4 linked regions of the Rhinolophus ferrumequinum genome follow. Each later gene encodes a partner of the first gene's protein in a complex. Links are inferred from orthologs where the notes say so. Each region holds a gene or a part of one and is shown in the gene's direction. Other genes may lie near its edges. The genes, in order: NEDD4, GJA1, ARRDC3 and GRB10.

Region 1 (8,273 bases):
CTACACTCTACCCTTCCATTCTCCTAGTAGGCGCCTCTCCTGATTGTCATTTCTAAACAGATTATAAGGTCTTACTCAGGAGATGACAGGAAAGCCAGCATCTTGGTCTTGCCTCCGTTTACTCTCATCCCTGTACCCTGGTTGGTGGTCCACAGTGTTTTGAGTTGTACCTCCTCACTCCAGTGGATTCTGGGGGGTTGCAACGTCCCATCCAGTCTCTTATCTCCATTCTTTTACAAAGAAAAACTATCTTCTTTGCACTGATAAAATAAAGGATTGCCAGCTCCTATATAGGCAAAAAGCAAAGTTAAACCTGATTTTATTTTTTTTTAATGATACCGGTAGTTTTGATTTCTGATTTCCTTAAGACTATCTTCAAATCCTATCCTTTTCCTAATTTTGTCTCTTTGGGATCCTATTTCAAACCTCCTTAGCATCTTACAATTATATTTTAAACCTGTTAAGATTTGAACATGAAGGTACAAGAACAGTGTTATGTGTTCAAAGTTTATCAGTGATTAAACAGAAGTACCAAAAAAGTTGAACAGTTTTATTCATTTTTATAGCTAACAAAGACACTGGATTTTTTATTTTTAAAATCTGTTTTTAGCGTTAGACCTCATAACATGTTTTCTTTTCACCCTCAAGAAATGACAGCTATACTAGGAACTGAAGGTATTACAAACAAAATCTATTAATTAGCAAAGATGCTTTTCTGCTGCCAAAGGAGACTTCCTCATTAACTGGCAATCTAACTTTTTAAAGCTGAGTGACAAATGATGATTTGATTTTTTTTTTCTGTTTGTATTTTTGCTTTTGCTTTTACTATAGAATAAGAATTTTTCCCCCCTCTGTCTTTACAGAGCTGTTTTACTTCTAGATGGGACCAGTTAAAATTTAGTGTTGGTGTTTTTTCAACAATGAAATATATATACAAAAAGTAGATATAATATGAATCTTTATTTTAAATAATAAGATAAATATCTGTGTACTTTATTACTCAACTTAAGGACTATAACATTACCAAACTCTTCAAAACCCCCTTCAGCCTTCCCAACAGCATTTCCTTTTCTTCCACTCACAAGTAGCAGCCACCATCCTGAAAATTGTTTATCATTTCTTTGCTTTTTAAAAATATTTTTATCATGTATATATGTATCCCTAAAAAAACCAGAGTTTCCTTTTGCATGTTTTTCAATTTATCAAAATAGTATCACTCTGAATGAATTCCTCTGTGACATGCTTTTTGATCCATGATAACACATTTTCACTGATGCATAATTTTCCATCATCTGCAAATGCCATAAAATCCTAATTTGTGTATTTATCCTCCTTAATAGATACCAGTGTTGTTTCCAGGTTTTTGCTGTTACCAGTTGGTAAACATTCTTGCCATGTTTCCTGATGCACATGTGTATCTGTTAAGATTCGTAATTTGGGGTTGAATTGCTGGGTCATGGTGTTACGGTGTTATTTTTCCTGTTGTTACTGACACCAATGTGAATTTCTCCCTGATTCTTGGGTGCTTCATTGGTGAACTATTTTATGTGAGTTATATGTAATGTTGTCCACAAGGAGGGATAGCTCATGTTTGCACTTTTCACCATAGTTGTCTAGTCGTTTTTGCCTATAACTTCAGCATGGTGTAACTCTTTCTTCGTTGCCAAAATGGATATTTCTCATACTCGGGTGCAGTAACACTCCTTGAGCACATGTAGCGTACTATACATGGTGTCATGATATGTCAAAAGGAAAAAGCATTGCCTCTGATATTAACAATGGGATATTTCTAGGGTTATAAACATGATGTATAAACATTAAAAACAAACAAACAAAACAACCTTTAAAGCTAAAAGCAAGCACAAAAGAATGCATTGATCAGTATATTGCAGATTCCCCAGGGGGCAGGGATTGCTTGTTGAAGACTCAGGGAAGAGTTGATGTTACAGTCTTGAGGCTGAAATCTGCAGGGAAGGCCACCAAGCGGGAAACTCAGGTAGGGTTTCTATGTTGTAGTCTTGAGGCAGAATTGCTTCTTGTGTGGGAAACCTGTCTTTGCTTTTAAGGCCTTTAACTGATTGGATGACACCTACCGTCTTATGGAAGGTAATTGACTTTATTCACAATCTAGTGATTGAAATGTCGATCACATCTCAAAACTAGCTTCACAGCAGCACCTAGACTGGTGTTTGACCAAACAACTGGGCAAAACAACCCCGCCAAGTGATACATACATATTATCATCACCCTGGACTTTAGACTTCAAAGTTCTAGTCAATGATTTGGGTTATCCAGAGCCTAGCCATAGCATGTCAATAATCACATTATTTTCTGTGTAGATAATCAATCACCAAACATGTCAGAATGTGGGGTCCTGAGCTTCAGTCTAATCCTAAGATGTTACCTGTGTCACTTCAGAATATGGAAATCTATAGGACTGGCATAGATTCCTCCCCGATGAGGGTTGCCCCCACTCTACCTCTGCTCCCCTTGGGTTAAGGCTCCTCTTTTGGCATCTGTTTGGCTAAGGGGCTACATTTGCCCCAGGTTCCCCAGGCTCTGCACATGACTGCTGTGACAGCAGTACAGAGCCCGTGTGGTCCCAGACCAGAGTCAGCAGTGCAAACTGTTCAGCCTCTCGAGAATTAAACGCAGACTGGAGAGCGAGCTAGGAAGGGCAGATGATTCTCTTACCTTACTTTTCCTCTTTGCAAAATTTTCAAGCATCAGTCCTTCTTGTCCAGCTGCAGTGCTTTTTGACATTTGTTTAGAAGTAGTAACTGGATCAATTTCTTTTTAAAACCCTGAAAGAAATCATGAGGCAGGCAGAGTGGCTATTCATCTATCCATTCAGTCTCCTCTCTGGTGTTACTTAGTGCTTACGTGTTCCCAACAGGAGCTCGGGGCATCAGAAGAAATGTTTAGTTATGACCCTCACACACTGGAAGCTTAAAATCTAGTTAGAGTTTTAACTAACATGAAACTGATGCCAAATATCTGGCCAAATTCTTGAGGTTCATTATTTTATATTAAGAACTAGAGGAGCTTTGCTTATTAACTGAAAGTTTTAGGCCGCAGGCACGAGCAGTTAGATCTCATTGATTAGCCTGTTAGTAGTGATCCATTCTTTAAATTATCAGACCCCTAACTTAATTTAAGACAGAAAGCAGAAGTCATTTGAAGGCAAAGTGAAAAGATTAGGACTGTTTCTTCTATAAAGAAAAGGCATGATACGGGACTGTTTACTGACATCTGTAAAATCATTAAGGAGAGTATACAAAATCAAAATAGCATAATAATTTTATTACTAAGTTTACAATTATTGCACACATTCTAAAACATAGTACTGTCTCATTCGAGTCAGAAATATCATTCTAGTCAGAAATATAATTTAATTGATACCATATTTCTATTTTTTCTTGTCTTAATAGATTTAAAATACCGTTTAGAAAATTGTGATTGAGAACAGATCTGTCTTATGGGGTTTTCTTTTTTAAACAAAGTGCAAGTATGTATTTTACATATTTGCTTTTACTTAGAGAAAAAAAAAAAAACACCTTACTTAAAAAAATACAACTTGGGTGTAGTACCATGTGGTGTAAACAACTGAACTATTTTACTTTTTACTTTCCTATGAATGAGCCAGTATATATTTATTACTGGAGTTCCAGCTATAAAATTCAGGTAAGGGGTTTAAATATACCCTAGAGTATTATTTAAAAATAAATTTATTTCTTTCAAATAGAGTACCAACCTTGGTCTATGACATTTGGGGCAGAAATTAAAATATTAAACTTTTATTACCTAGTAAACTGAAAATAAAGTAAAGGTTAAATAAATACAAAGCAGAAAAAATATATATACAAAATCACAACCCCTAAAAGGACAAACAGTGTACTGTTCTCTACTGGAGGAGCTTTATCAGCAGTAGTAAGTAATTCCACCTCTAGGGCAGTGCTAGTACTCAAAAATGTAAACAAGTACGTACTTTGTTTATATAAAGAAATATGCAGCATGGTTTGTATTTCTTTATAGATATGAAACAGCTAAATGGATTGTTTCAGTGCACCAGTAGGGGCCAGCAAAGAGCTCTTGGAGTTTTTCAGAACAGAATTGGCATTGAGATATGTTTATTTGATGTGTTAAATCCTTTTTAGACTTCTTTACTTACCACAACACTCTCTTAAGTGAATGAATTGCAGAGACAGTGGAATAAAATATCTTGTGTGCTCAAACTATATTGGGGTATAGTTTTTCTGTCTAATCTGCATATATTTTTAATGGAATGTTTGCTTAGGCTATTTCTTGGCAGAGTTTTAATAGTCAAAATATAAATGGCATCATTTAAAGACTGTACTACTTGGCTGTAAAAGCCTTTAAAATTATAGGAGAAAATGCTTGGTGACAGCTTCTCTTAAACTTTATTTTTTCTCAGACATATACTCAATTTTTGCAATAGTATTAATAGGCTCATTTTGTATTTCTTTCCTTATGCTTTCATTTTGTATAAGAAGTGTTTTGGAATTTAAAATACTTATCTATTTGATCGAATGCTAAATTTTTAATTTACCCCACACTTTTGGTGTGTCCAAATTGCATAACTGTTTGAAGTTATCTGTAAAAATTTTAACAGTCTATATTCCTTTCTACATTAACTAACTTGACTAGATTCCTAGTGTGGCCACTATTTGGAAATTCAATCCTCGATTTGATACTCAATTACATGGGGTTTCATTCCTACCAACTTCCTGTAATTTTATCCCTATGGGTAAAAATATTAGTGGTCAAACTCTGCTGGAAAAAGTATAGGCACAGTGATTCACACAGTTAAATGTTCATTTAGTAGAGCTGGAGTGAAAAAAATACTGTTTTAACTTGAAATGCTAGAAGATTGTTGTTCTTGTGTTACTCATTCATGCAAATTGGAGAAGGTATAATTGAAACAAGGTTGGCAGTGTTTGAGGCAGTGAGCTGCAGCTGAGCTCAGCTTTAAAGGTCGCTGGAAATCAAGTGCTTTGTAAGTGAAGGCATTTTGACTACAAGCAATTCAAGACATTTTGGAAACGTCAGTCTCAGGAATGGGTCGTCTTTTTCTTTCTGAGATATCTGGTATCTAGTGTTTTCCTTTGGATAAAGACTACTACTTAAGAGCTCTTTTAGGCACCACAAATGATTTTTTCTTTCGACGCAGTGCAGCTGCTTCTAGCCTGTCTACCGACAGAGATCTTTGTTATGACTTTCAGCCCTTAACATGTTTGGAAATGAGAACAAATGGCACAAAGCTTACGATTGCACTTTGCAGCCAGAAGAAGCAATACTTATCCTTTGTCAGAAACCTCCGGAGATGACTCGGATAGCAATGTTCCCATGTGCTTCAAAAGACCAACACGGATTTCAACGTCTAACGTTGTTCAAATGAAGCTGACTCCCAGACAGACTGCACTAGCTCCGTTAATAAAGGAAAACGTTACGTCTCAGGAGAGCTCATCTGTTCCTCCACCTGAGAATGTTAATAAAAAGAGCAGCTGTCTACAGATTTCACTACAGCCAACAAGGTACAGTGGATATCTTCAGTCTAGCAGTGTCTTAGCTGATGCTGACGATGCTTCATTTACCTGTGTCTTGAAGGATGGCATTTACAGCAGTGCTGTGGTTGATAATGAACTAAATGCTGTGAATGATGGAAACCTTTTAAGCAGTTCTGCCATTTGCAGTGGTAGCTTTAGTAACTTTTCAACCAGTGAGAACGGGTCTTACAACAGCAACGGTAGTGATTATGGGTCATGCACAAGTATCACAAGTGGAGGTTCCTACACCAACAGTATCATCAGTGACAGCAGCGGTTATACTTTTCCATCAACTGATGATACTTTTCTGGCCGGAAATTTATCTTCTGACAGCACCTCCTATAGAAATGTGCCAAACAGGAATACTACTCCATGTGAAATTTTTTCAAGATGTACAAGTACAATTCCTTTTGTCCAGGATGACTTGGAGCATGGACTAGAGATTATGAAATTGCCAGTGAGCAGGAACTCGAAAATTCCACTAAAACGTTGCTCATCCTTAGTCATTTTTCCCAGGAGTCCTGCAAATACCCCACCAACTTCTCCGACAAATACAGGTATTCTTCCAAGCAAAGGATCCTATCAGACGTCACACCAATTTATTATTTCTCCTAGTGAAATTGCCCACAATGAAGATGGTACTAGTGCTAAGGGATTTCTTTCAACAGCTGTCAATGGACTTCGGTTATCTAAAACAATCTGTGCTGCTGGAGAAGTAAGAGACATACGACCACTTCAGGGGAAGGGCTTATCACAAAAGAAAATTGTTATTGCGAATAATAGTCCAAGTCAGACTGTCTTTGAAAAGTCACCTGATGGATATTCTTGTGTTTCAGTACATTTCACCCAACAAAAAGCAACTACAGTAGATTGTGAAGCAGCAAATAGTGATTGTAGACCAGAGATGTCAGAAAGGAAGCTTAATTCTGATTCAGAGTATATTAAGCTGATGCATAGGACATCTGCGTGTTTACCATACTCCCAAAACGTGGATTATCAAATAAATATTAATGGACAGTTGGAAAGACCAAATTTACAGATAAACAAAAACCGTGCTATTTTACAAAGAAGTATTTCACTGGGAGGGACTTACCCAAATGTTTCCTGTTTATCCAGCCTTAAGCACAATTGTTCCAAAGGGGGACCATCTCAATTACTAATAAAGTTTGCATCTGGAAATGAAGGTAAAGTTGATAATTTATCAAGAGACAGCAACAGAGATTTCACAAATGAACTATCTAATTCTTTGAAGCATTCTTGTAAGGTAAGTTTCCTTTGGTCTTGGTAAATGTTAATTTATATTAGAATAGCTTTATGAAATATTTGGTTATAATTTAGCAGTTTTATATACTTTCCTGGTCCTTACTTACCAAGCAAGTATTTTGTAGTCATGAACTTTATATTTGTAAATCTGATGAACCCCCAATAGTTTTTCACTCTATTTGTTATTTTACTAATGTAGAAAATATTCATTAAAAAAAAACTTTCTGAAGTGATTTAAGCCATAAAACATTTCTGTAACATAAAAACAAGCTTTAAATAATAATTTATTTTATAACACTTTACCTTGATGTATTTTTCCCTCCCCTCAAGAGGCATAATATTTTAATGTGTAACTCCATATTTTATTCCTACTTACAAAAATGCTCATTTATTAGTCTCCTCTCCGTAATCATTGTGAAGTAAAGTAAAATATAGAATGCTTATTTAAAATATTAAGCAATAGAAAGTGTATGTAAAAATGTGAAAATCTTGTTAGAAATGAGCATAGAGAAAACTGTTTTTCTAAAATACATGTATTTATTAGATCATTGTTAAAAACTATTATGCTGCATGTTTAAAGCAGAGGAAAAATAAATGACATTTTCATTTGTATATGCCTTAACCACAGGAATTTTGTTTCCACGGTATTTTTCTTTAGCTACCAGGTAAGACTGCCTTCTGAAATGTAACTTACTCTTTCAACAATATTGAAATCTAAATTTTATATTTTTGAATTTGGTTTCAATTGTTAGGTATTTCCCATAATTTTTTAGTTACCTTATTCATTTGTTATTTGATAATTTTGATTTATTATATTAGTAATTTAACTCTAATAAATCTTAACTAAAACAGTTCTTTATGTAATGTGGCCTTTCCAAAGTATGTTAAGTGTTTTGACCTTAAATAGAGTTTTTAAAATTTCTGAATTTGGAAGGTCTTGCCAGGATATTAAAACATTTTAAATACCAGGAAATTAAATTTTTTTTCTGACTAAACCAATTCTAGATGACATTATTGGAGGAAAAACTTATCTGTTTGTCTGTGTTTAGTCACTCAACGTAACACTCAATATCTATACTAAAGATTTTTTTTTAAACTTCTGGAGAGGTAGCTTAAGGTAAATAAAATATGAAATAATTGCTAATTTGTTTTCTCTCTTTTGAAATCCAATAAATATAATCATTGTTACCCAATGCCCAGATGTTCAGATAAGCAACTAGTTTACCAAGGATGAATTAAGATCAGATTTCATATTCTGATCTATCTTTTAGAATTATTAATTCCGTTTACAAAACTGTTTAAAAACCAGCTTTTAGGAGATGATAATCCATTCAACTGTTTTGCCCCCTAAAGAAAGCAATGAAGTGATACTAAGAAGAAACATTAATAGTTTGCTAATTGAATTTACATGTACCTTGTAAGTTTATTTTACATTTAATGAGA
Region 2 (7,481 bases), on another chromosome or scaffold:
AAATATGTTTGATCAACAGTCACATCAAGAACACATTTTCTGGCTGGTTTTACCAATGTGGGTAGAGTATTTCTGAACTCGCGCACTATTGAGATCCCAATGAACTTTTTCTCCTTCCTCACTGCATAACAAACATTAGATAAAATGGAAATTTGGTGCATAGATAGTATCATTCTGATGCTAATGAAAGGCATTCCATAAGACAATGGAATCTTATTCCATTACAAAATCACTTTAGACCTTCTCAAGCTTAGATAATCCTTTTATTCTTCTACAGCTGCCTTTGGATTCCTCCAGATGTAAACTTTTCTTCTCAGCTCAGTTCACTCTTATCTCAGTTAACTGATAACCTCACCTACTTTACTTTAGATGTCGACTTCAACCCTAGCTTCCTAATGCCCACACTCTCCATCTCAAAACATTTTTTCTTTATGATCTGCATTCACTCTTGTTTTAAAGGAATAACTGTCCTTTTTGCAAAGTTAAGACTCCCCCAATGTTCAGGTGATATTTTTCCTTACAAACAAACCCACTTATAGCCATTTTAAACACTCTTCCCTTTTCCAGAGTCTACCTTGTCTCTTTTTTCATTTTTTCTTTGCCTGCATTAAATGAGGGTATACACTAAGCATACTGCCTACATTCCATCTCTTAGTAATCTCATCTGTACCTGTGGTTTCAAATATAAATTCTATGAGTATAATCCCAAATCTTATGTCAATTTTAACCTACATTCCACAGCCCCAATTTTAAATTGCCAGTCAGGTGTCTTTACCTAGATGTTTCAGTTCTTCATACCAAAATATTCCAAATTGAAATCATTAAATCTCTTTCAGCAAATCAGTTCCTCCTCCAGACTTCCTTTTTTGTGTAACTTTTTCCTAATCAAAACTCCAAAATCATCTTCCACACCTCTTCTTTAATCTTCTTCACTCAATCTGTCATCAAGTTCTGATCATTCTACCTTCTTTCCTTTCCTTTCTTTGTCCTAGTACTCTAGTTCAGGTTCTTGAAACTCACTCTTCTACCATGTCGACATAAGAAATGTGCAAACCTGTAGAGAATTTTTGTAACTGTTTATTTGAGCCAAACTGATGACATATTCCGGGGAGCAAGATCTCAAATATTCTGGAGAATAGCAGTTTTGCAGTTTCTTTATGCATTTGAAATTAAGTAACAGACTGAGGCAGATTACAGGAAGGTGGGAGAAAACAAGGCAGGGATTGGATTACAGGATAGTTAAGATTATCTGCTCTCTTGAGGGTGGTTACACTTTAGAAAAAGTAGTCTGAAAGGGTGGTTAAAGAGACATTTCAAAGCTGTGTTAACCTAGATACAGAGAGACAATGGACAGGGCTTGCTTAAGGCAAAGAAAAAGCTTTTCTAAAGTTATATGCCTGGGGAGTGACTACCCACCATGACCTGCCCAGTTAGGAATTTATGATTTATTACAGCATCCCTTCTTTTTGTCCACAGTCATTACAATATTCTCCTTAGTAATCTCTCATCTACAGTCCCAAAATATTTTTGAATGTTTATGCTACTCATTGAAGTAAGAGTAACCTGCCAGAACTTGTGTGATATAGGCATTTAAAGTACTTAAAAATTAATCCATTCATCTGCTAAAATTCCAGAAATTGGTATTCTGAAACAAAGGCAAACATCCAAAATGCAATTGGTTCTCAGGTTAAAAATACTTCTCACAATTCGGAAAAAGAGTCTACTCTTCAATGTGCATTTCTCAAGACACAGAGCAACGTGGTTAAAACAAAATCTAGGGTCTGGCTCGTGGTGGTGACTAAAGAAACCATACAGATGACAAGAACTGTAAATGACTGTCCCTCATCCCGCTTGAGCACTGTTTCCTGACTAGTAAATTAGGCTGCATCCATTTCTTCTGCATAGACAGGCCTGGCAATCAGAGAAGATACAGTTTGGAGAAGTCAGTGTTTATATTAATGAAATAGCATTGGCATCTCTGAGAATATGATAAAAACACATTTTAAAAAATCTATTCCATGATTTTAACAATGGAGACATGCTTCTAAGTTTATATAAGTGGGCTTCTTTATAAAAATAGATTCTAGGTCACGATATAACTCACCAACCCGGCTAGAGTATTAGTGAGGTATAATGAGAGTAACTACTCAGCATTTGGAGAAGCTGCTAGTTGCATGAGAGAAAACTGTTGTTAATGTTCCAACGGAAGCCATTCACAGTAACCCTGTTCCCTTTGAGCATTCCTACTCATAGGGTCACATTTTGGTGCCATTATCCCAAAATAAAAGATCACATGAGAATGTCTTAATTTTCAATGAAGGATCATGAGGAAATCATTTTAGAAATAGAAGACACAGTACATCCTATATATTATGAGAACTAATTATTTAATTAGTGGCTCATGCTATGACTAGCTTTTGATTCAGAAGATAGTTCAAGTGACATCCATGAGGAACTTAATTTGGTATAAAGAAGTGCTTTGGTTCTACTTCCCATTTGTCACATAGGCAATAGACTAAAAAGAAAGGTAGCAGAATACTTAGATATCAGCCTTTTAGAGACCTAACAAAACGTAACTGGAAAGAAAGCAATTTTTGGCTTGCACAACCCTGTTACAAAATAGTCCACTGCAACTTTTTTTTTTTGTTCATGCAAGTAATGCTGAATCAGCATTTTAGGAAAACTTTTTAATAAAATGTATAATATCAGTAATAATTGTACTTGAATAATTTTTAAAAGGAAAGCAAATGATTATGTAAATTAAATGAAGCACAGACCTTTTTTAAAAAGGGGAAGCCAATTTTCTTATAAAAATAAATCATATTTTCATGAATGTGTTCTGAATCGAATAAAATAATTTTTAGTTAAGATAAAAACAATAGACTCGTTTGAAGGCAAACTATAAATACAAGACCAAAACAACATTTATGGGTTGCTGAGCTTGAAGACTTGAAAGTCAGATTACAATTTCTATTTCTTTTTTCTCCTCTAACTTAAAGAAAAATACACCCTTGGAAATAGTATAGCCAACAAATGAAAGAGCAATATCGTGTCTTAAAACTACAACATTTCAAAAGATGTTTTATTAATCTTTTTAGTGAAGATATATTTAGAGAAATGTATCTACCATAAAATATTTGCCATTTTCCTTTTTTTCTGGTATTTGTATTAGCAAGAAAAGGATAAGGAATATTAAGACTGGATGAATTTGCTTTGTTTCCAAAGAATAATGGTCTAGGGATTTCCCTGCTCAACCTTGGGAGCATCACTGAAGCCTGTTTATGGGGAATTGTCCTAGCACTGCCATCTGGTATGGCATCCGGGGAGTCTTCAAAGGAGGCCACATGACTCAGGCTATTATATACCCGAATGCAGAGTGCTTAACAGGAAGAGCCACGGAAGTGGTGGAAAAATGCATAAAATGATATGCTCAGCTCTACTGTCATTGGGCAGAAAATCCCATGGGTTTTAGAAAAGGAGATGATCTCAAGAATAGTTTTGAGACCCACTTACTGTCAATTTACCGTGTCAGTATTTCGTTAAAAATATTCTGACATTTCACTACAAAAGATTTAGTTTTTAGTGCATTGGCATGAATGGGGCTGAGATATTATACATTTTCAGTTCCCTGAAGACCCGATAGAGAGACGTGAGATACATCTCGATTTCACAAGCAAAACGTATTATATCACATATAATAGAATTATAAATATAAATACAGCTTTTGCTAAACTGAAGAGTAAACATTCAAAGCAGTCAAGGGGTGGGAAGGTGGATTTGGGATGGGCACACTACCACATTTGTCCATTTTTGAAATCTCTCTCTCCCATCCCCACCATTTCTTTTGTTAATGGTCCTTACTCAAACTAGAAGAAATGAGATTATCAAATAATTTGCTTCCCCCTCCCCCCTTTTAACTTCACACACCTTGGCCAATATGAAACACATCTGTACTGGCTACACTCTTTTCCAGCATTTTTATTTACTGTTACATGTATTAGGAAAGGTTGTGACATTGTAAAATATACAACTTTTTATTATCTCTGGACTTCTGGGGAAACAGCGCTAAAACCAGTAACTGTTATCTGTAAAAAGTAACTACAAGTAGTAGCATTCTCACCTCGAATGCTTTCATTTCTTTCGTCAGCAAACTTAAACTACAACTTTGTGTCCGACCTCGCCACTCCTCTCTGCCTCCTCTCCCCCACCCGTCAACGTGCGCCGGCCTGCTGTCTAACTCCCTCCTCGCTGTGCCTCTCCCCTCCCCTTTCTCCTAGCCCCTCCTCCTCGTTGAGTCAGTGGGTTGAAACTTTTAAAAGCTGTGTGCTCCAAGTTAGAAAAAAGCTTTTACGAGGTATCAGCACTTTTCTTTCATTAGGGGGAAGGAGTGAGGAAAGTACCAAACAGCAGCAGACGTTTAAACTTTAAATATAGACAGGTCTGAGTGCCTGAACTTGCCTTTTCATTTTACTTCATCCTCTAAGGAGTTCAATAACTTGGCGTTCCTACTTCACTTCTTTTAAGAGAAAAGAGTAAGTTAAAACAAAAAAAAATCTTTACCTATTTGTTTCTTTTTCTACATGTAAAACTTTTCTACAGTTTTTAAATGTGTTAAATGTACTTTTGATATCATACTGTAAATGAAACGATGAACTTGAAAGTGTTTCTATAGTTTTAAAGTTAAAATTGAACGTTCAGTATTTGTGCGACTGTTATAAAGTTTCTATTAATAATGGAACAGGTAAAATAAGATTCAGATCTTTCCAATTAGAATAAAGCACGAGTTTGCTGGATATTTGGTTCTTCATTTTAGAGTTTAATTTTACTTACTTCGTAATCAGGAATAGTCTAGGTGCTTTGTAACTTGGGGGGTGGGGGGGGTGGATCGGAGCCTGGGTTGGAAATTTGACCGACAGCAGCACAAAAATCAGTGCAAATTTGCTTGGCATGCTTGCTATAGAATTCTACACTTTCTGCTTTTTCATGTGGAAATCTTGATTGATGTTCTATAGCCTGGCAAAGCAAGCTTCTTAACAAAGTGCTTTGTTAAGACCTTGCGGTTACTTGACTTCCACGTGGTCCCTTCCTAAAATTTTTTCCCCGGTAAACAAATGGTATAAAAGTCAATGTTGTACTATTGAAGTTTTTAAATCAACAGTAAAGAGTTACTTTGTTTCTGCAACTACTGTGGAAAAATTTGAGACTCTCAGGAGAGCCACCTTTTACTCAACCACGTTGGCAATTCAAGAGATGAAATCCTTTGAATGGGCGGTGGTTGCTTACAAAGCATTAGAGGGCTTGAACACACGTTCAGAAAAGAGTGTATGCCAGGGTGCATTTCCAAAACCGTCTCCTAAAACCGGAGCTCCTAGAAAGAATATGAAACGAAATTTCTTAAACAGCTCCTTAGAGAGAGCTAACATGCCCCCACCCCCACCCCCGCAGCCGCCTTTCGCCTGGCCGAACCTGTAACAGACTCCAGAGCTTTGGGCAGCACTTGAGGTGGAGCTCCCAGGGTGCTGCCGGTAGGCGAAGATTACGCTGATTTGTTATTAAAAAGGATTCAGTTTCTTAAATGCTCTTATTGGTAACACACATTCTGTTAGCGTGTTCTGTACGGATTTTGTGTGTTCTACTACACAGACTACACTCATTCGTTTAAATTCTTGGTGTGACCCTGCAGTTTGAAGTATTTGCACCAGAGAATGCTGAAAAGCAAATAAAAATGAAAGCTCAGCGGAGGTCGGGGGCCGTGGCGGGCGCGGGGCGCTTCCTGCCAGCTTAGCACCCGCCGGCGCTCCCCGGCCCCCGCGCAGCGCCAGCGTCTGGGTTTTGGAGAGGTTTGGGGAGCTGTTGCCCTGGAACCCTCCCTCACACGTCAACCCTAACGCAGGTCCCAGTTCTGCCACCAAAAGTGGGGGTGGGGGTGGGGGAGAGGGTGGAGGGGTGCAGATGGACTGGGGACCCCAATGGTAAAAGAAGAGCAAATGATTAATTAATCTTGTCAATGTAATTTCCCTCTCACCCCCATCCGTAGGTTTTTTTTTTCTTCTTCTTAAAATTCTGAAATCCTACTATACAAGCGTTGGTAAAGGAAATCAGAATGCCTTAGGAATTAACCGTGCTTAAATTGCACTTGTAACTCTCCTAGAAGTTGTCGAAACTTCCCAAGAATGTGGGGTAGGGCGCGACGGGGTGGGGGGAAGCACCGTAATGAAATTAGGAAAGAACTCATGACGTGTTCAAACACAAATCAGGTTTCGGAAACTCAAACCTAGAGTTCCGAGCAGCGGATCGGCCACACTGTCTCAGTTCGTAGCTATCCAAATGTTTACCCAGCATCTTTGGTCAAGTTTACCCTTAAACTCTCCATCACCAGCCCCATACTCATCCTCACCCTAAGGCATGCCTGCGTTTTTCTCGAAGGGCAAAATGGGAAAAGGGGAGCTATAAAATTGTTGGAAAAATAGACATGGCTTTATTTGGAGGTGGGTTTCATTTTTTTTTTTTTTGCTTCCCAAACGAGGTTAGTAATGACAAGATGCTTAATCTCATCCTCCAACTCTGTCAGAAATGCCTTGTGGCAATTTGAAGACTAGATTGAGATTTTTTTGTTTTTAAAGAAGCCTAATCTTTTGTACAAGGATTTCTGAAAATAAAAGACTGTAGTAATTCAGAGATCTCATTAAATTAACTCCATGCCCAAGAATGAAATTATGCCATTTAGATAGAAAATATGTCTGGGGAGCAATAATGAATTTTTCTAGGTAGGCCGAATTGACTGGAAATTATACCAATGGCAGTAAGTATTTTCTGCCCTGTGAATGTGTTGAATTTTGTACTACTGAAACGTGTTCCCCCAATGTGTGATGCTTTGTAATTCCCAAAGTCAGGGTGTAGTTGTCACCTATCCTTTGCGTGGAAAACGCAGTGGTAGTGCTTTGCTCCCACTTTCTTAACTATTTAAACATATTCCATATTTTTCTAATACCCTTTGAAGTTTATTACCACAGCTACCCCATACCATACATACACTCCGTCCCTCACCCTTTATAGTTGACTCTCCCTGGGAAACAGTTCCAAAGATACTCTGCAGCAAGGATCCAAAAGAGTGTGTTTTCAGATATTGACAGTTGCTTTGTTGCTTACATGTTTCCAATTCCTGCATAGAGAGGGATGGAAAACTTAGATAACAGTGCATTCCTTAGTTCCTTTGCTGTTATCCAGAGGTGTAGCTAGGTGTGAGCCTCAGAGCCTTTATATGTGATACTGGAGGGAACGGAACAATAGGAAAGTCACCAGTGATTAATCCCTTCTACTCCACCTTTCCTGTTGTTCTGACTTCCCTTCAAGATTCTTGGCTGTTTAAATAGATTGTTGAAGCTTGTCTACTCAACACTACTTCAGCTCTGGAAAGAAAAGTAATTACCTAGTGTTTATCATTAATGTCAATATTCAAGATAAGTTGTGCTAAAAACAAT
Region 3 (8,193 bases), on another chromosome or scaffold:
TTGATTCACGACATTGAGGCAGCTAAGACATTACAACTAAAGACACTCACGAAAAAGGACTTCCAGAACTGCTTCAGAAAGTGGCAAGAATGATGGGATAAGTGTATTTGAAGCAAGGGGGAGTATTCTGAGGGGGATTAATGGCAATGTGTCTTTTACTGTAAAAAATTTATTTAAATATTCACCATATTTTTATTTTTAAATTTATTTAAACATTCATCGTATGTTACACAAACAACAACCCTAAAACCAACTGCTGATTATCCAAATGTGAATTTACTAGGTCATAGATTAAAAATGTGAATTTAAGGTTTAGCTTTCACCTAACCCATTTCTTGACCCCAAAACAAAAGTTCATTTGAAACCTTAGATTTCTGGAGGCAGAGAGTGCTCAGCAAACTTTTACATTTAAATTGTCCCTCCTCCTTATAACTTTTCCACAACAAACAGTTCCTTCATCATAACTACTTCTTCAGTGTGGTAGCAAATAAAATCCCCAACAATAGGAAATACAGGAACATGTAAACTGAGCTGATCATATATGGGTGAGAAGCAATAATTCTCTCTCACAATTTTTAAGTTATGGTAACATAAGGATAATAATTAACAACAGTAAATAAAACTAACCTTAGGAGGCAGATCCTTGAAAAATGCTTCCATTAAACAGCATTGAGAAGGCAGTAGCTGTAAATAACAAGTTTAGGTCTTAAAATCATTTATAATAAATTTCTCTTCAACAACAGAAAAAATGTAGATGATTGGAAGAACAACATTCTCCAAGCAAGATATGAAATATGAAACTCCATTTAGCCAAATATGAATTTGATATAAAAAACTGAGAACTGGTTCCTTTCAATTATACTTTGCCACTAGAACTCAATATCATCAGGAAAATATTAGTTATTATACTTATAATGTTTTTACCCTCGTTACATAAAATTACATGAAATTGGGCTACGTCAAGTCATAAAAATAGTTCAGAAAAGAAATTTAGCATTTCTGATTCTTTTTGCAGGCCCGATATGACTTGAGCCTGGATAAATAAACTGCCAATTCATCTAATTTAGCAGGCCCTGTGGGTTACAAATCCATTCAAGAGACTGTCCCTTAGAGGCACTAATCAGATATATTGTCAAAGAAGTCTACACGATTAAGAAGCATTGCCATAGTTTAACTGACAAGGCTCTTCCTAGTTGTACTTCTAGATGGAAATGTACCAAAAAGTTAATAGTGGGGTATATCTCTGGGTGGATAGAATTATGAATAATTTTATTCTAAATCAAGAAACCAAACATAAAAGATTAAAGACATTCACATTTCACACTATTTCTTAATGAGCAAGAAGAGAAACCAAATTTGGTATTGAATTTTCTCACAAAAATCCAGAATACATTTTAATGTCTATTAAGTATGAAGAATGCAATGAACGTACCATATAATTAACTATCAAATATAAAAAACAAATCTTACTCATTTTGCTAACACTATAGCAAATCTTACCTCGTCTCCACACCAAAGTCAAATTCGTTGCATTTTGAAGAAGTTAAATTCTTAAGTCAATTACAAAATCTTGAAATACAGAATACCGAAAAATAAACAAACCAGAGAAACTTCCGTAACTTCTATGGTACTCAAGGTGTTAGTTAAAATAAGAAGTAAGCACGGATTTCACATTTTTTTTGAAACAGGTTATGACTGCTAATATGGTTTTTCTTATAACCACATATCAAAACTTTCAGTTGACATGGCTGCCTTTTTTTATATAACAATATTGAATATTTTGATATATTAATAAGTAATGAACTAACTCCAGATGTGGCAATAATTTTGACATATTACTGCCTCAATATTATACACCTTGAGATTGAGTTCTTGAGATTGAGTTTGAACCTTTATACAGTAAGGTGGAACAGCACTGAATTAAAAATCCAAGGAAAAAAAGTATTATAAAGAAGAAGAGTCCTATTTATTTAAGCTCCAAAGAAGCTATAGAAAGGGGAGGAGGCGCTAGTTTTTCTGTCTAGTTGATTTTATTCAGTGTGCCAACTGAATCTGGTAAAGGGGTTAGAAGAAGGGAAAGAAGATAATACAGCAGTGGGGTGTTGTTCTGAGCACAGAAAGCAGAATGTAACTGCACATTGGCAAGAGAGAAAAAAGTTACCAAAGACAAGCTAACATCTCCTGTCAAGAAGATGTACTTAACAGTAGTATAGAGAGTTAGCAGATGAGTAGGAAGTGGCATTTGAGATGTAGGCTGAGATGCGGTAGGAAAGAGCCTTGGTGGTAAACATGAATAGCTTAAATATAATGCAAAATACAGTAAGGGCCCTGTGAAGCAAGTCCAGAAGCCCAAGATAATGAATGGCTACAGTACAGCTTTTCAAACTAACAGGTTGATATTTAGATAAGGAGTCTTTAAAGGGGAGGTTATAAAAATCACAAGAGAAAACATTCAAAATTTAGTTGCTTTTTTCTTCTTTTAGAAATAAAAACATAAGATAGATTTAGAGACACCAGAGTTGTTTGTTGTTTGTTTCTGGTGTTTTCATAATTTGAATAAATAGGAGGAGGAAAACAAAATGAAGCAAACTCAAGGTTAGGCACTTAAGAAATAGTCGTGTGACCAAATCCAAAGAGAAGAAAGATGACAATTAAGGTAGGTGAGTAGGATCTTAAAAATGATATGGGATAAGAAATTCTTGGCAACTTGTCAGTTTTAAAGTGTTTAGAAAGACACAGTAAAAAGAAAATAAGGAGAAATAGAAAAATAAATCATAAAGACAATGATTTATTATATCTTAAAAGTTTCAGAAAGAATAATGTAATATAGTGATAGGAATGAATCATTTAATGTGCTAAAACGATTTTCCAAACTACAAGTAAATCTCTTAGAATTATTTGTGGTTAAATGCAAGTCTAGTTTATTTAAACAGCTGATTCTTGTTTCTTCAGAAATAAGTTACATTTCAACTGGAGAAATTTTACTAAACATTCTGAAGAATTCAGCTATTCATCACTAACCCTTAATAATTAAAACAAATTTAATAATGAAAGTTTATTGTGTACTGCACTTTTAAATTTATTCCTTGCCCAGTGTTACTTGAATGTTTAATAACTTGTATTAGATCTTAAGGCTGAAAAGCTGACATCTTAGCAAATTCACTACTTTTACCACTAGGTGGCGAAAAAAAACAAGTAGTATCTGTTATCAAAGCTAGTACAAGGTCCCAAGTACTTGAACAACTAGAATTTCCACCAGGTGTCAACCAAGAGGGAAAAAAGGAGACTATTTCCCCCACTGAAATACACAAATTAAGTTCTAAGCCTAACCATCTCAACTCTATCAGAGATAAACGGCCTGACATTAACTGTACAAATAGTTTACATATTTATATCCCCATAGAAGGTTGTTGAGTCCAATATATTGTCAACTAAACTCCAACTAAATAAAATTTTGTTTCCTCCAAATAAGTAAGAAAACAGCAAGCTCAATGAATTTAGTTTATTGTGAATCATAGGGTCAAGTTATCCAAATATATGCACAAGAGTGCAAAACGTTTTAGACATGAACAGCCCAAACTCTTCCAAAGTATATTTGGTTATGTATAGATAGCTCCAGATTCATATATTATTTTTGTTTCTCTTACAGGCAGCTGATTGTAAAGAATCTAGGTAAATTTATGTTGTTATGCTTTTAATCCCAGTGTCATTTTATAAAAAGCATTGCCATTTGTTACCAAAATAGTCACAATAAAGAGACAAATGTTATCTGTCTTTAAGATGTACCGAGTATTACGTTGAGAAAGTCCAAGGCTGAAAATTAAAGCTTTACAGAATTAAGTCCTACTTATATTGCAAATCGTTTTTTAAATACCATCTTATGTGCTTCACTAATTTCTAACAAAGATTTGCCGATCTTGTTGTAAACATTATGTCTGCTAAAACACTATGTCATACTACCTTTTATAAGGTGGTACTTTTTTAAGGCCGAACTCTATTCTTAATCCTCGGGACACAGGAGTTATAATCATGTCATACCCTGCAACTCCAGCTGTAGGTGGTGTCTTAAAAAAACTTTTTCTTCCTTCGAGGAAGTGGTCAAGCCCTTCTTCACCCTGGTGTCATCATGCAAACAACTTGGTTGTTTTTCACTGCTATCTAATTAAGAGATGGAAGAGAAAGAAGTTGAGGAAAAAGCAAAAACCTACTGATTAAATTATACTTGCTTCTCTTCCTTGCTCCTTACAGTATTCTCTTTTAAGGTTCCTTTGGCCTCGACTGAGTTCATTTCCACCCTGCCTACAAAGCAGTGGCTTTTCAAAAAAAGAAAATCTAAGCCAAGAATGCTCTTGTCTAAGAATATTATTCCTTGTCTGGTTTTATTACGTTTTCTTTTGAAATTCGTTAGATTATACTCTGCAACCAGCCGCTTGCCCAACCGGTTTCTCCCCTTCCCCCATCGCTCTTCAATCATCACTTTTTCCTACTCCCAGCCAGGCGGTAGTCAAAACCCTGCCGTGCCTGTAACGCATGCTTGGGGCTGGTCACTCAGCAGTTCATCCTTACTTGGCTTTACCAACAACTCCCCACCCAACCCTTCTTCCCTAGTGACCCCCTCTGCCATTATCTTTAAATAGAGTGTGCTCAGTAACAGGCTCCAGATAGCACTTCGAGGGTTTACGGTAGCCTGCCTGCCTGCCTGCCTACCAATAGGAGCCCACAATGAAGGGAAGTCAGGTTCAGCCTCCCAGCAGCCCCAATGTCTTCTTCCCCAAGCTGTACACCTACTGTATGAGCAGTCGAGCAAGCGAACGAACAAGCGAACTAGCGAGCGAGGCGCGGGAGGGGGCGCACCAGAAGGGCGGGCAACAGCCGCGGCGTGCGCATGCGCACCGGGGTTGTTTTTCACAAAGCTGCTCTTAAAGTGAGCTGGCAGCCTCCAGCCGCCCGTCTTTGTAAGGAGACCACTGAGACTAGCAGAAGCGCGGAGCAGCAGCTTCTAGCTGCCCTGACTTTTTAAGAAATCTCAATGAACTATTTGTAAGGAATCACTGATCTTGCCTGCAAGCTTTTTGCACGGCAAAGACATCGATCAGTGTTAAGTGAAGATCACATTTTATATGTGATCTTGACTTTTTTGTCTTACATTATATTTTTATAGATTTTGTTATAAACATGGTGCTGGGAAAGGTGAAGAGTTTGACAATAAGCTTTGACTGTCTTAATGACAGCAATGTCCCTGTGTATTCTAGTGGGGATACAGTCTCAGGAAGGGTGAATTTAGAAGTTACTGGGGAAATCAGAGTAAAATCGCTTAAAATTCATGCAAGAGGACATGCGAAAGTACGCTGGACCGAATCTAGAAACGCCGGCTCCAACACTGCCTATACACAGAATTACACTGAAGAAGTAGAATATTTCAACCATAAAGACATCTTAATTGGACACGAAAGAGGTAAGTTTTTATATTACTCAAATCATTAAACCTGTTTTCTTTGGGAAAGTACCTTTTCAATTTTTCTGAATTAATATAATTTTACTCCTAGCATAACACACAGCAGTTTGATAAAGATTAGCAAAGTTGGAAGATTTGGATTCTCCTTGACATTCATCGTGTGTTAAGTCGTAATGCATGCAGGCATCTGCAAAGTGACTGCAAACTGCACTTATTCAACTACCTCTATACCCAGCTTGGTGTGTGCCATACGCATTTGCAATCCATGTGCACCTTACACATTCTGCTTAAATCCAATTCAATAATTTTACTAATATATTTTCAACTGAATTGCTAAAAGCTGCATGCAGTCCAATATGAGATTTTGTCCTTGTACTCTGCAACCTTAGATCTTAACAACTAAGCTTCAATGAAGAAATGGAATAACATTTTTAAGTGGGTTAATAGGTGGATTTCATTTTTAATATTGACACGCACAAGACTTCAAAGAATTGATCATTGTTCTTTGATAAAGGGTTTCTGTGGCTTATTTTGACATATGGTATCAACACCCCACGTGTTTTTTCCCCCTATTCTTTCCAGTTCCTTTAGAAATTATATCAGACATTCTCTATTTTAAAGGACAGTATTTGTCGTTATGATAGGTTTTAAATCAGTTTTAGAAGCCATTTAGGATCAGTAATTTTTTTTTTCCGAGCATCATGCCTAACTTTGGAACGTGCATTCAATGAAACCCCTGCAAGTCAAATGAAATTGAAAAGTATTCGGCACATTGGATTTGATTTTTGATTAGAAAAGGGAGATAAAGGGTTGTCAAAGGGAGAAAAGGTCCTGAGGTTTCCAATCGATTGTTTAAATCGTTACATTGTGGAAATATAGGAGACTCTAAGCTTGTTTTTCTAAGTTTCCACCCTTTGTTAGAAGCGGTTCAATCCTGTTTCGGACCAGTTCTGGGGGGTGGTGAGGAGGGGCGCTTATTCAGCTCTCAGCAGATTGGTTACACGCGTCAGGTGGTGGCGATGACTTAATTCCTAGACCAAGAAGAATATAATGTTAAAACTGGTTATGTAATTTTGTACTTCTCCTTTTTAATGCAGTATTTAGTTCAAATGTTGACTATTTTTGAAAGAGTAGAGCACATTTTTACCTTTATTTGTAATATTAAAAAACATGCCGGAGGAAATGCTAATTAAACTAAGCCAAGTGTAGATATGAAGGATGCTTTCAGTTACAGCATTAATGTACTATTTTTAAAAATATTAAGATGAAATCAATTCTTTAGTTAGGTATGCAGTTACACATAGGTAATTTGCATCCTGAAATAATTTCTAGTTAATGTTTCCAAGCAGTAATGCTGGTAAGAAATGCATGCCTAATGACAGTCCTGGTATATGCAGAAAAGCAAATACATGAGTTTGTGTTTGAACCTTTCTGGACATTGCAGCTTTCTATAAAATGGTTGAGAACAAACAAAGGTTTTTTTAAGGAGTTGAGGCTTGCAATGGGGTAAAAGTAGAATAACGATTTATGGGGGGAAAAAACAGTTTCATGAGTTACTCCATGGTTTTATTACGTGGGATTATGTGCCCCGTACCCCCACTAGATGCCCCACAATTCCTGAAAACGTGGACGAGCTCCTAGCCTGGAATAGTTTCAATGACTTAAAATTGGGACCTCTCAAACTAGCCTGGTAACTGAGACCCCGCCCCAGGTGACCGGCGATAGGCGGAGCCGGGTTTGTTAGCCTGTTGCTAAGGCGATGCCAGGCTCTGATTGGATTGGGCGCCGGCGGGTGGGGAGAGCGCAGGCCGGGGCGAGGCTTGGAACCGGCGTGCGCCGGTAAAGGTCCCTCCAGAGCGGTCGACCCCGCCCTACTGGCATGCCACGGCTTCTGGAGGTGTCCAGGGCCCCTGTCACACACATCACGTTCTGTCGCCCCCTCACCTCGACTTGTTTGGCCCCCGAAAAAAACGACTTCGGGTGTCAACGGAGTAGAGGGGAGAAACTCCTGCTGGCCTTACAGGTGCCGAATGGCCCTGGGCGCAACTTCAGCTGACAGTCCTATTCTGAGGGAACTTGCATGTGCCTGGTTCGCAGGACCCCATTTTAGTATTTTTCGGATAGAAAGTGTCAGGTGGCTTCTGTTAACGCTTGTTTTCCTCTTAGCTGAAACAAAGCGTGTTTCGCGACCAATGTAGTCACCAGACCGGCTACCTTAATTTGGTCTGAGGGGAGAAAGCAAAGGCTGGCGGGGAGGAGGAGGAAAAGTGGTAGTAACATGGAAAGCAGGGTAGGAACCTGGACTAGTATTCCTTGCCCCCTCATTGTTTGCCGGAACCTTTCCTCCCCTCCCCCAATCCCTCACCGCCCCAGTTTCCTTCACCGCAACTGTAAAGGTGTCAGGGTGGCCCGAGCCAGATCGAACCGGTCACCAGCTGAGGCGTATAAAGCGGAAGCGCCGCGGCACGGTCGCCCCGCCCTCCGTTCAGCAAGCTAGGCTGCGCGAGCGCCGGCGACGTATGCCTTATGTATAGCGGGGCGCGCGGGCGGCGGCGGCGCGCGGGCGGGCCGGCTAGGATCTGCTCGCGCCGGTTTAGGCCGGTCCTCTCCTGCTCCGGTCTAGTTCTTGATTGACAGCCCGGCACTTGTTTACCACCGCGCTGCCGCCGCCGCTCGCCTCAATGAGACTGCTGAGCTGGCACAAAAAGGGAGCGAGAAAGGATGAAAAGGAGAGGAAG
Region 4 (8,062 bases), on another chromosome or scaffold:
AACTAACTCAAGTTGGACTTAGCTCTAAATGTAGGAGCTTAAAAACATAAAACTTCCAGGAGAAAACAAAGAAAAAAAGTGTGGTCTAGGGTTAGGCAAGAATTTCTCAGACGGGATATAAGAAACAAACTGCAAAAGGATAAATTGATAATAGTTAACCTACAAAATTAAAAACTTCTGCTCTCTGAAAGATACTGTTAAAAAAAATAGAAAAGTCTGGTGGAATATATTTGCAAAACACATATCTGCTAAAGTACTGGTATCAAGAATACAAAAAGAACTCTTAGAACTCAGTGATAAGGAAACGATTGATGCAATAATAATAATAGTAATAATAATAATAATAAAATAATTGGACCAAAGACGTTTACTTCAGAGGAGAATGCAGATGAATAGCACGTGAGCACGTGGAAAAGCACTCACCATTTGTTGTCGTGAAGAAAGCGCCAGTTAAAATCAGAACGAGACACCATCGCACACCAGTTGGATGGCTGAAATTAAAGAGGCCGACAGCGCCAAGTGCTGGTTGAGACGCAGAACCGCTGGGGCACTCACACCTTTTGGGGGCAGATGCCCACGGTAAAGTCACTTTGAAAGCAGTGTGGCCGTTTCTTATGACACATTTCATATGGCCCAGCGATCTCGTTTCTTGTTATTTACCCAAGAGAAACGAAAACTTATCTTCCCGGTAAACCCTGTATAGCAGTTTTATTCATAATCGCCCCACAGTGGGACCTGCCCAGGTTTCCGTCAGCCAGTGAATGAATGAACAGACGGAGGTGCGTCCACTCACGGCACAGCAACCAGCTTTAAAGGAGCACGCTCGTGATGCACAGAGCGACACAGATGAATCTCACACACAGTGAGCCGAGGGAGAAAAGCCGGACACAAAAGGCTACATACTGCGTGATTCCATTCATGTGACAATCTCGAAAAGGCACAACTAAGGGGACAGAAAGCGCATAGAGCAGTGTGTGCAGGGCGTGGGGATGGGACATATTGCAAGGCACAAGAGCGAACTTTCTGGGATGATGAAGCTGCTCTTTATCTTCCCTGACATCACAGTTACACAGCGGTTAATTTTTCCTGTAGGCAAATCCAACCTCAATAGATCAGACTTAAGAGGAAACATCCTTCAGTGAGCCTCTGTTTGAATTGTAAAGCCATTTTGATTCAAGGTATCTCAGGAAAAGGAGAGTTTATATTAAGACATCATACGGAAAATGCATTTCCATTGAAAGGAGACCTGCGGTGGCCCAGACCCAGGGAGACAGGGGACCGACAGAGGGCATCCGTTCAGGGCTTGCTTTCAGCGCTTCCCTTCACACATGGGCCCAGCTCAGGTGGTCCTCACCTGGTGCCTGTGGTCCAGACCCCCTCCAGTACTTCCGGTTCGGACTCCCAGGAGCAGGCTTCTGGTGGGCCCATCCTTTCCTCCACAGGCAAACCCTTGGAATGGGAATCCCTGGGCCCAGTGTCATCCCCAGTAAATCAACTGCTATGTAGGGAACCACAAAAGGTGGGGGTGATTGGGGGACTATGGACAGTCCACTGAGGGGGGTACATCGTGTTGGTCAGCCCCGCGGCAGCAGACAGGTCTCACACTCTCCCATCACCTTTGGGATAATGGAGAAATGCCTGAGGGCGACAAGTAAGTCCCTGCTGGCCTTTCCAGCCTGGCCTCTTGTCACGTCTCCCGCCTGCCACGCAACCTCCTCCAGCCCCGCCCCCAGCTTTCTATGACGGAATGTGACTACTTGGTAACTTTTCTTGGCTTTGGTGAGGTACCTGCATCTCCCTCGACCTGGCAGACCTTTCCTTTGGCTCCCTTTTCGGCACTTAGCATCTTGGATGCTCCAGGACTCTGCTAGGGTGTGGCCTCTGCTGGGAAGCAAAGCCGCCAGGCTCCCCATCCAGGCTCCCCGTCTCTGTACCTTGGGGCCGCCTGTACTCCTCTTGCTCAGACGACTCAAGGAGTCACTGTATTTGGAATACTGGCAGTTGTGGATCATGGGGAAGTCTGTTAAAAATGCAGAGTGACCCTGGGGGGCGGTAAACTCCTCAGGGTGGGGATGAGCCCAGGGGTCTGCAGGGTGAACAGATTCCCTTGGGTCCTGCGGGGCGTATTACAATTATACTGTGATTGCAGCTCAAGCCCACCCCACGGTGAGGGGATGGGGTGGGCTGGCAGTCCTTAGTGCCTCTGATGGCTGGCTGGTGTCCAGCTCTGCCCTCCAGATGCATCCCCTCCCACGCCTCTCCCCTTGCATGGCTGGGCCATGGACTGGCCTCTGCCCACGCAAGCAGAAGTGAGGGCCACTTCTGGCCAGAGGGCTTCACTGTCAGTGAGCAGCTCACCTGGCGCCCCTTCCCTTTGCCAAGGCTGCTGGCATGTGTGAGACGGTGCCGGGCATCACAGCATCTTGCCTGCTGCTCTGCTGCTAAATCCCTTTGCATGGTACCACTTCCCAGTGATGAGGGGTTTTCCTGGGTGCCCGCTCAGTGCCAGGATGACAGCAGTGAAGAGCACGCAGTTACCCTTGTCACATGGTTACAGTCGACAGAGGGGACAGGTACCAATTATAGAATCTATCGGATTCTCTCCATGCAGCTGAACAAGCCTTTGCGCACGTCTGGATAAGTGAGTTCCTCACGGTCACAAAATGCCGTTTCCCGTCCTGACACCTAGCTGCAGCCAGGCCATTTCCCCTTGGGGAAGCTCTTGAACACAAAGCCACACTGCCTTGCTCCTGGCCGGCTGGGTGGTCCAGGGTAACTCGAGCCCTGCATGGCTGATGTCCACCCTGGCTGCTGTCATGTGGGTGGTGGGCATTTGGAATTTGCGGCAGGGAAAGGCATTCAGGTGCAGTTTGCCCACAGTACAGGTGTGGCCAGGACCCCGGTCCAGGGGACAGCTGCAGCTTCTAAACCCACAACAGTGACACGTTCATGAACTTGGATCGTAAAGTGGTCCTGAGTGGACCTGCCCAGAAAGGAGATGCATGCGGATATATCTGCGGAGAGCCAGGACAGGTGGGGGCTGAGCGCCTGTCCCAGGAATTTCAGGGATCCATGGAAGCAGGAAAACACTGGAGGACATTTATTTTGGTCCCCTCTCAATGAATAGTAATGTTTGAAAATCCACACGTTTAGAGACAGTAAGTTCTCACCTGACCCTACACTGGGTCCTGTAATGAGGGGAAAGGAACGTTATCAAGGACATTAGCAGATCAACGGGCAACGCTGGGCTATGGACCGAGACCAGACACGTGTACTTGAGCAACATAAATGTATGAATTTGCTAACTGTGCTTCCCTACTCTTAGGGAAGACATCAAAGTATATAGGGGTTAGGGGCTATAGTGCATGAAACCTGCCTACACGGGACTCAGGACAAAACGATGTCTGTTCACAGGTGCTCTTCAGACATCTGCAAAAGCCCGTGGCCGGGGCAGGCTGATTGGTGCCGTCAGCAAAGCTACAAGGTTCAAACTCACATACTTGTAAGAAGTTGGCCCAAATTGAGTTTTCTCTTCTGTGATTTTCTCCCGAGTCCTTTGTCTTCAACAGGAGTCCTTTGTGTTCTGTTCTCCCAGGAATCCAAGATCCTTCACGTCATTCTTTCTAGGTTTTCATCTTACGGTTTTCTGGGCTTGGACCAATGGGTAGACATTTTCAGGAGGCCTATTTCAGTGGCAGGAAAGGGTGACCTTTCATGATATATCCATCCAAAGGTGTGAAAAGCAGGAGCTATAAAAAGTGCCTGAAAAGGGCTTTGGCACCGTCCTTATTCTGCACTTACCAGCTACTTGACCTTGGGCAGGGTATTTCACCTCTGCGAGGTTGGATTTCCTAATCTGCACCGTGGACATCTCCCAGTGACAACCTCAGAGGGCCGGAGTAGGGGCTGGGTGACAGATTGGTGGCCATTTGGCATAAATGAATGGTCAGAAAAAGTTACTGTTGTAGCTGTTTTTGTAACATGAAGATCCAGAAAAAGACATAATTATTGCTATCCTATTTGTATTGTAATTTTGACTCCGTAGACACATTAATAATTATATTAATGATAATGGTTTTCATTCATTCGCAGTGTCCTCCGTGCCAGTCACTGTCACAGGTATGACTTCATTCAACCCCTAGGATATCACCCTCAGGGGGGTTTATTAGCCCATTTCAAAGATAAGGACACTGAGGCTTGGGGGCGCTGAGAACCTATGTAGGGCCTCCTTCCGCCACCCGCATTCACTCCAGTGCTCACACGCAGATGGGGAAACTGAGATCAGATAGAAGAGGCCCCAGACCTGGGTGGCTGTGAGCGGGCACCGCAAACCCAAGATCCCTTCCCCCCCCACCCCACCCCCCCCCCGCCCCCCGGGCTGGACCGCCGGTCCAGACAGAGTCCCCAGCATTGGCGCCTCCTCGGTCCTCCTTGCACTGTGTTGGTGATGCAGGATTTGGACCATACAGTTAAGACTTTGAGTTTCAAAGAATTCGCTTGCAAATTGCCTTTCGGGATAGGTCCGATGTGTCTTCCGCCGGCGCTCGAGCCTGGGCTGTCGGGGTCCCACGTCTGGGGCTCCCGGGAGGCAGGACCAGGGACCCGGGCGCCCACGCCCGGCTGCGGGCCCCGAGGGTCCGGCCCCCTAGCCCGCGCGCCCGCACCACGCCCTGCGCCTAGGCCGCGGCTCCGCCCGCGCTGGCGGCCGCCGAGCGGTCCCGGCTGCGGCGGCGGGAGGAGGAGCAGGAAAAGCGGCCGGGGGAGGAGGCGGAGGCGGCGGAGGCGGGCGGGGCCCGCGCGTTTAAAGCCCCTCGAGGGGGTGGGGAGGCCAGGAGGAGGCTGGAAGGGCCGAGCGGCGCGCCGGCAGCGGGCTCAGCGCTCGGAGGCCGCGGAGACCCGCGCGGAGCCAAAGTTTGCGCGCAGCCCCTAGGCTGGGCCGGGACGCCCCGCGCGCCCCGCCCGCCCCCTGGGCCCGCTCCTGCCCCAGCTGCGCCGAGGTCCCCCGGAGCGGTGCCGCGCAGGTACGGAGTTGGGTGGGGATCGCGGCCGCAAGTTACTTTGTGGTCCGCGCGGCGGGGCCCGGCGGGCGGGCGGTCCCCGTGCGGTCATTGTCTGCGCGCTGGCCGCCGGGCCGGGGACGCCGGGCGCCGCGGGGGCGCGGCGGGCGGAAGGGCGTCGCCTCCGGGCTGGGGGCTGCGGGCGCGGCGGAGCCGGCCGGGCTCTGCGCGGGTTCCCCGGGAGCTGCGGAGCCGGGCAGCGCCTCCTTGGACCATCCCGTCCGACGCCGGCAGCTCACGGGCCGGGGCCAGGCTAGGTGGGGGCTGCGCCCGTCCACGGTCAGGGCCGAGGCTGCGCTCCCGGGCCGCCCGGAGGGTCCCCTGCAGCCCCCCTGAGCCCACGCCGAGCCGGGCACTCCCCAGCCCGGCGCGGCCCAGTCTCGGGAGGGTTTTTATTCGGTTCCGTTAGTGACCCCGTTACCCGCCGCTGGGGCCTAACCCCAACTTGAGGGCTCGCGGATTAGCCGCCGGCCAGCCGTGGAAATGTGATAAGAGCCGTACCGTTTGCAGAAGGAAATTTCTGATGCAACTGTCTGCCTTCGCTGATTGCCTCTCCAAAAGCCTGCCTGGCGAGGCCCTGCAGCATGTGCGCTATGGAAATTAGGGTATTCTCTACTTTTTATTGTGTCCCTCTTCTCCTGGGGTTGGAAGAAATGCCAACTTTTTGTCGTTTGCTTTGACGAAAACCTTGGGCCCTGTAGGGAAGCCACAGGTGACTGAGACACTGCTGGATCCGCGATGCACTAGAAAGAAGGACTTCTCGCAAATGTACCCAGTTTCATTCAAGAGATGCAAAGAAAAGACCAAAACAAGTAGCGCTCCTGAGTGAATATGCGTAATTGCACAACTTTCTGGGTGCTGCTGTTTACAGGGCCAGGCCCAGAACACTTTGTTTCTGAAAATGCTGAATCAGCCGTTTGGAGCCCCCAGCTTCAGAAATGGTGCTCTACTTAACATTTCGCTCGGTTTTACTCAGAACACATGTTAGCGAGCAACAGGCGCTGGCTGGGGTTTACAGCATGAGGCTGGTGGTTTCTCACAGCAGTTGACTTGGAGCCCCCCCCCCTTTCTTTCTAGAAGGAAAAGTAGGTGGAATCTAGATATGTATAGCAGAAGAAATTAATTCCAACTTGTGGGGATAGTGAAGTGTCTTTTAGCGGAAGATTTTGTTCAATAAAAGCCCTGGAAGCAAATTTGTTTCCAGGAATGATGTGGAGGCTGGCTTTTTCGGTTAACATCAGAACTCTAGGATTACTGCACGTAACATTTGAGTTTTATTGGGAATACTTGAAAGAGAAGGGCCACACAGGCCAATCTCCAGATTACAGGGAGGGAATCTGAGGACAGACCGGGTTACACACCCAGCCAGCGCCAGCCAGCGCTTGTGTAACTGAGAAGTGTAGCGACTGATACTTTGTAGCATTTCATAGTTTACGAGACACGTTGGAAGCCTTGTTGCTTTTAGCCCTCTACAGCCCTTGGATCCCCATTTTACAGGTGGGGAAACTGAGGCTCAAGAGGTTAAATTGGCATGCCCAGGGTCACATGGCCAGCACATGATAGAGCTATCACCAGAGCCCAAGTTTTGGATTTCTTTTTTTCAGTCCTGTGTGTTTTATGCTTCTGCACGCGTACATCTGCCTCTGAAAGAGAAATAGCCCAGAGGACGTCCCCTGCCAGTCACACACCCGAGAACTAGCAGGGCCCATTACCACTCCCTGGACTCCCAGCTTTTCAGAGCTCTCTCATTGTCGCTGAGGCCATTATCAACATTTTCTTTTGTCTGCTCATTGATTATATGAAAATACATATTTTTTTGGGAGAAAATTTTGGTATCCACTGAGTTGTAAGTTTGATATGGTAGTTAAACGTTTGTTGTAATAAAAAAATGGTGTTTTAATAAAAGCTGTGTACCCCTAAAGTCATCGATTGCATACTGCCCAAGTTCTGTACCATTTTGGGGGCAGCGATGGCAGGGAAAAATGCCTTTTATTTGTGGACCAAGACCCTGGAACTGGCAGGCTCATGCCAGCTACTTGTTGGGGGCTGTGTATGGTGGTGTGCCATCGGAACACAGGGCAGTACTGGCCCAGTGGCAGTGACCGTCTCTCTGGCCAGTCAGCCTCCACTGAGAGAGAATAACAAAGTCAGAACTAAGTGCTAGCCCAGAACCTTTGATTTTGATGACACAGCTGGTCAAGACTTTACTGTGTATAGCAACCAAACTCCTGCTTGAACAGAAACATCTACACATCTAGGACTGTAGAAATTCTGGGTTGGTAGACCCAGTGCTTCAAAGGTGGCATAATGTACAGAACCTGTTTCCTCCGAGTCCTGTCCACCTCTTACCTGCAAGGAAGAAACACCTGTGTACTCAACACCTGTGTACGGTGTAATTAAGTGTGTGGAAGGGCGAGCACGTCTGCCTATCAGAACTCAGAGAGCTGGCTGCAGGGGACTTCTGTTCTGTTTTGTGGTAAAGACGCCTTTCCATTTGCAGTTTGTGGCATAAACCCCATGTCATGTCTGTCTCAGTCTTCTTAAACCAAAGTGGGGTTTGTTTAGGGCTCGTGAGGAGAAAATACTTGTTTTGCCTTTCAATTAAGCAATCAGTCTTATGTTTAAAATTTAAATAACACTTTTTCTGCTGGTAGAGATTTTTTTTTAAACTGTCTTATTTTATTTTTTTCTTAACTGTAGAAGTATGGGAGGTTACAGAAGAAATTAAGACAGCCGAGCTACTTGGTAGGCAAGGCTTGGCAAACAGGTGCTTTCGGGACCTGGAAACTTTCTACCAGGTCTGTGCTAATGGGTTTGTAACTGATCTTATCCTTCCAGCACTAGCTGGCATTTAATTTGGGTTAGTATTTTAGCTGCACACGTCTTGGGAGCTGTCTCTGTCCCTCATCTTCTCCCTCTGGCGGGACACCTATGGCGTCAGGGAGCTTCTGAACTGATCTTGGAGCAATGGGCTTTTTTGTCTGTGCTCCTGGTGGTCATGGGGC

Evidence for each region.
Region 2: the proteins of NEDD4 (region 1) and GJA1 are in contact, whole or in part, in an NMR structure (PDB 2N8T), measured with the Rattus norvegicus proteins. The link is inferred for Rhinolophus ferrumequinum from reciprocal best matches to the Homo sapiens genes NEDD4 and GJA1. Residues at the interface, in NP_037118.1 of Rattus norvegicus: Asp416, Asp417, Tyr422, Val424, Asp425, His426, Ser428, Lys429, Thr430, Thr431, Thr432, Trp433; in NP_036699.1 of Rattus norvegicus: Pro277, Leu278, Ser279, Pro280, Met281, Ser282, Pro283, Pro284, Gly285, Tyr286.
Region 3: the proteins of NEDD4 (region 1) and ARRDC3 are in contact, whole or in part, in a crystal structure (PDB 4N7H), measured with the Homo sapiens proteins. The link is inferred for Rhinolophus ferrumequinum from reciprocal best matches to the Homo sapiens genes NEDD4 and ARRDC3. Residues at the interface, in NP_001271267.1 of Homo sapiens: Glu847, Arg849, Ala851, Pro852, Phe857, Ile859, Asp860, His861, Lys864, Thr865, Thr866, Thr867, Trp868; in NP_065852.1 of Homo sapiens: Glu344, Ala345, Pro346, Pro347, Ser348, Tyr349, Val352.
Region 4: the proteins of NEDD4 (region 1) and GRB10 are in contact, whole or in part, in a crystal structure (PDB 3M7F), measured with the Mus musculus proteins. The link is inferred for Rhinolophus ferrumequinum from reciprocal best matches to the Homo sapiens genes NEDD4 and GRB10. Residues at the interface, in NP_035020.2 of Mus musculus: Glu71, Leu72, Val79, Arg104, Ser112, Ile114, Leu115, Thr116, Ser117, Val118, Gln119, Glu134, Ile135, Leu136, Phe137, Arg138, Leu242, Pro243, His244, Pro245, Pro246; in NP_001357532.1 of Mus musculus: Ile514, Arg516, Gln518, His519, Phe521, His522, Gly523, Arg524, Asp548, Gln579, Phe581, Gly587, Asn588, Thr589, Lys590, Phe591, Ser592, Ile595, Gln596, Asp599, Phe600, Leu603, Asn604, Ile617, Arg618, Val619, Ala620.

The regions. Positions count from the first base shown.
Region 1 is NC_046289.1:53,009,479-53,017,751, forward strand, and holds the start of NEDD4 (E3 ubiquitin-protein ligase NEDD4), read left to right. Parts: upstream 1-4,898; 5' UTR 4,899-5,271; coding exon 5,272-6,831; intron 6,832-8,273. UniProt on the Homo sapiens protein: E3 ubiquitin-protein ligase which accepts ubiquitin from an E2 ubiquitin-conjugating enzyme in the form of a thioester and then directly transfers the ubiquitin to targeted substrates. Specifically ubiquitinates 'Lys-63' in target proteins.
Region 2 is NC_046286.1:70,969,849-70,977,329, forward strand, and holds the start of GJA1 (gap junction alpha-1 protein), read left to right. Parts: upstream 1-4,320; 5' UTR 4,321-4,532; intron 4,533-7,481. UniProt on the Homo sapiens protein: Gap junction protein that acts as a regulator of bladder capacity. A gap junction consists of a cluster of closely packed pairs of transmembrane channels, the connexons, through which materials of low MW diffuse from one cell to a neighboring cell.
Region 3 is NC_046290.1:59,998,900-60,007,092, reverse strand, and holds the start of ARRDC3 (arrestin domain-containing protein 3), read left to right. Parts: upstream 1-4,946; 5' UTR 4,947-5,175; coding exon 5,176-5,455; intron 5,456-8,193. UniProt on the Homo sapiens protein: Adapter protein that plays a role in regulating cell-surface expression of adrenergic receptors and probably also other G protein-coupled receptors.
Region 4 is NC_046303.1:2,527,964-2,536,025, reverse strand, and holds the start of GRB10 (growth factor receptor-bound protein 10), read left to right. Parts: upstream 1-4,821; 5' UTR 4,822-5,021; intron 5,022-8,062.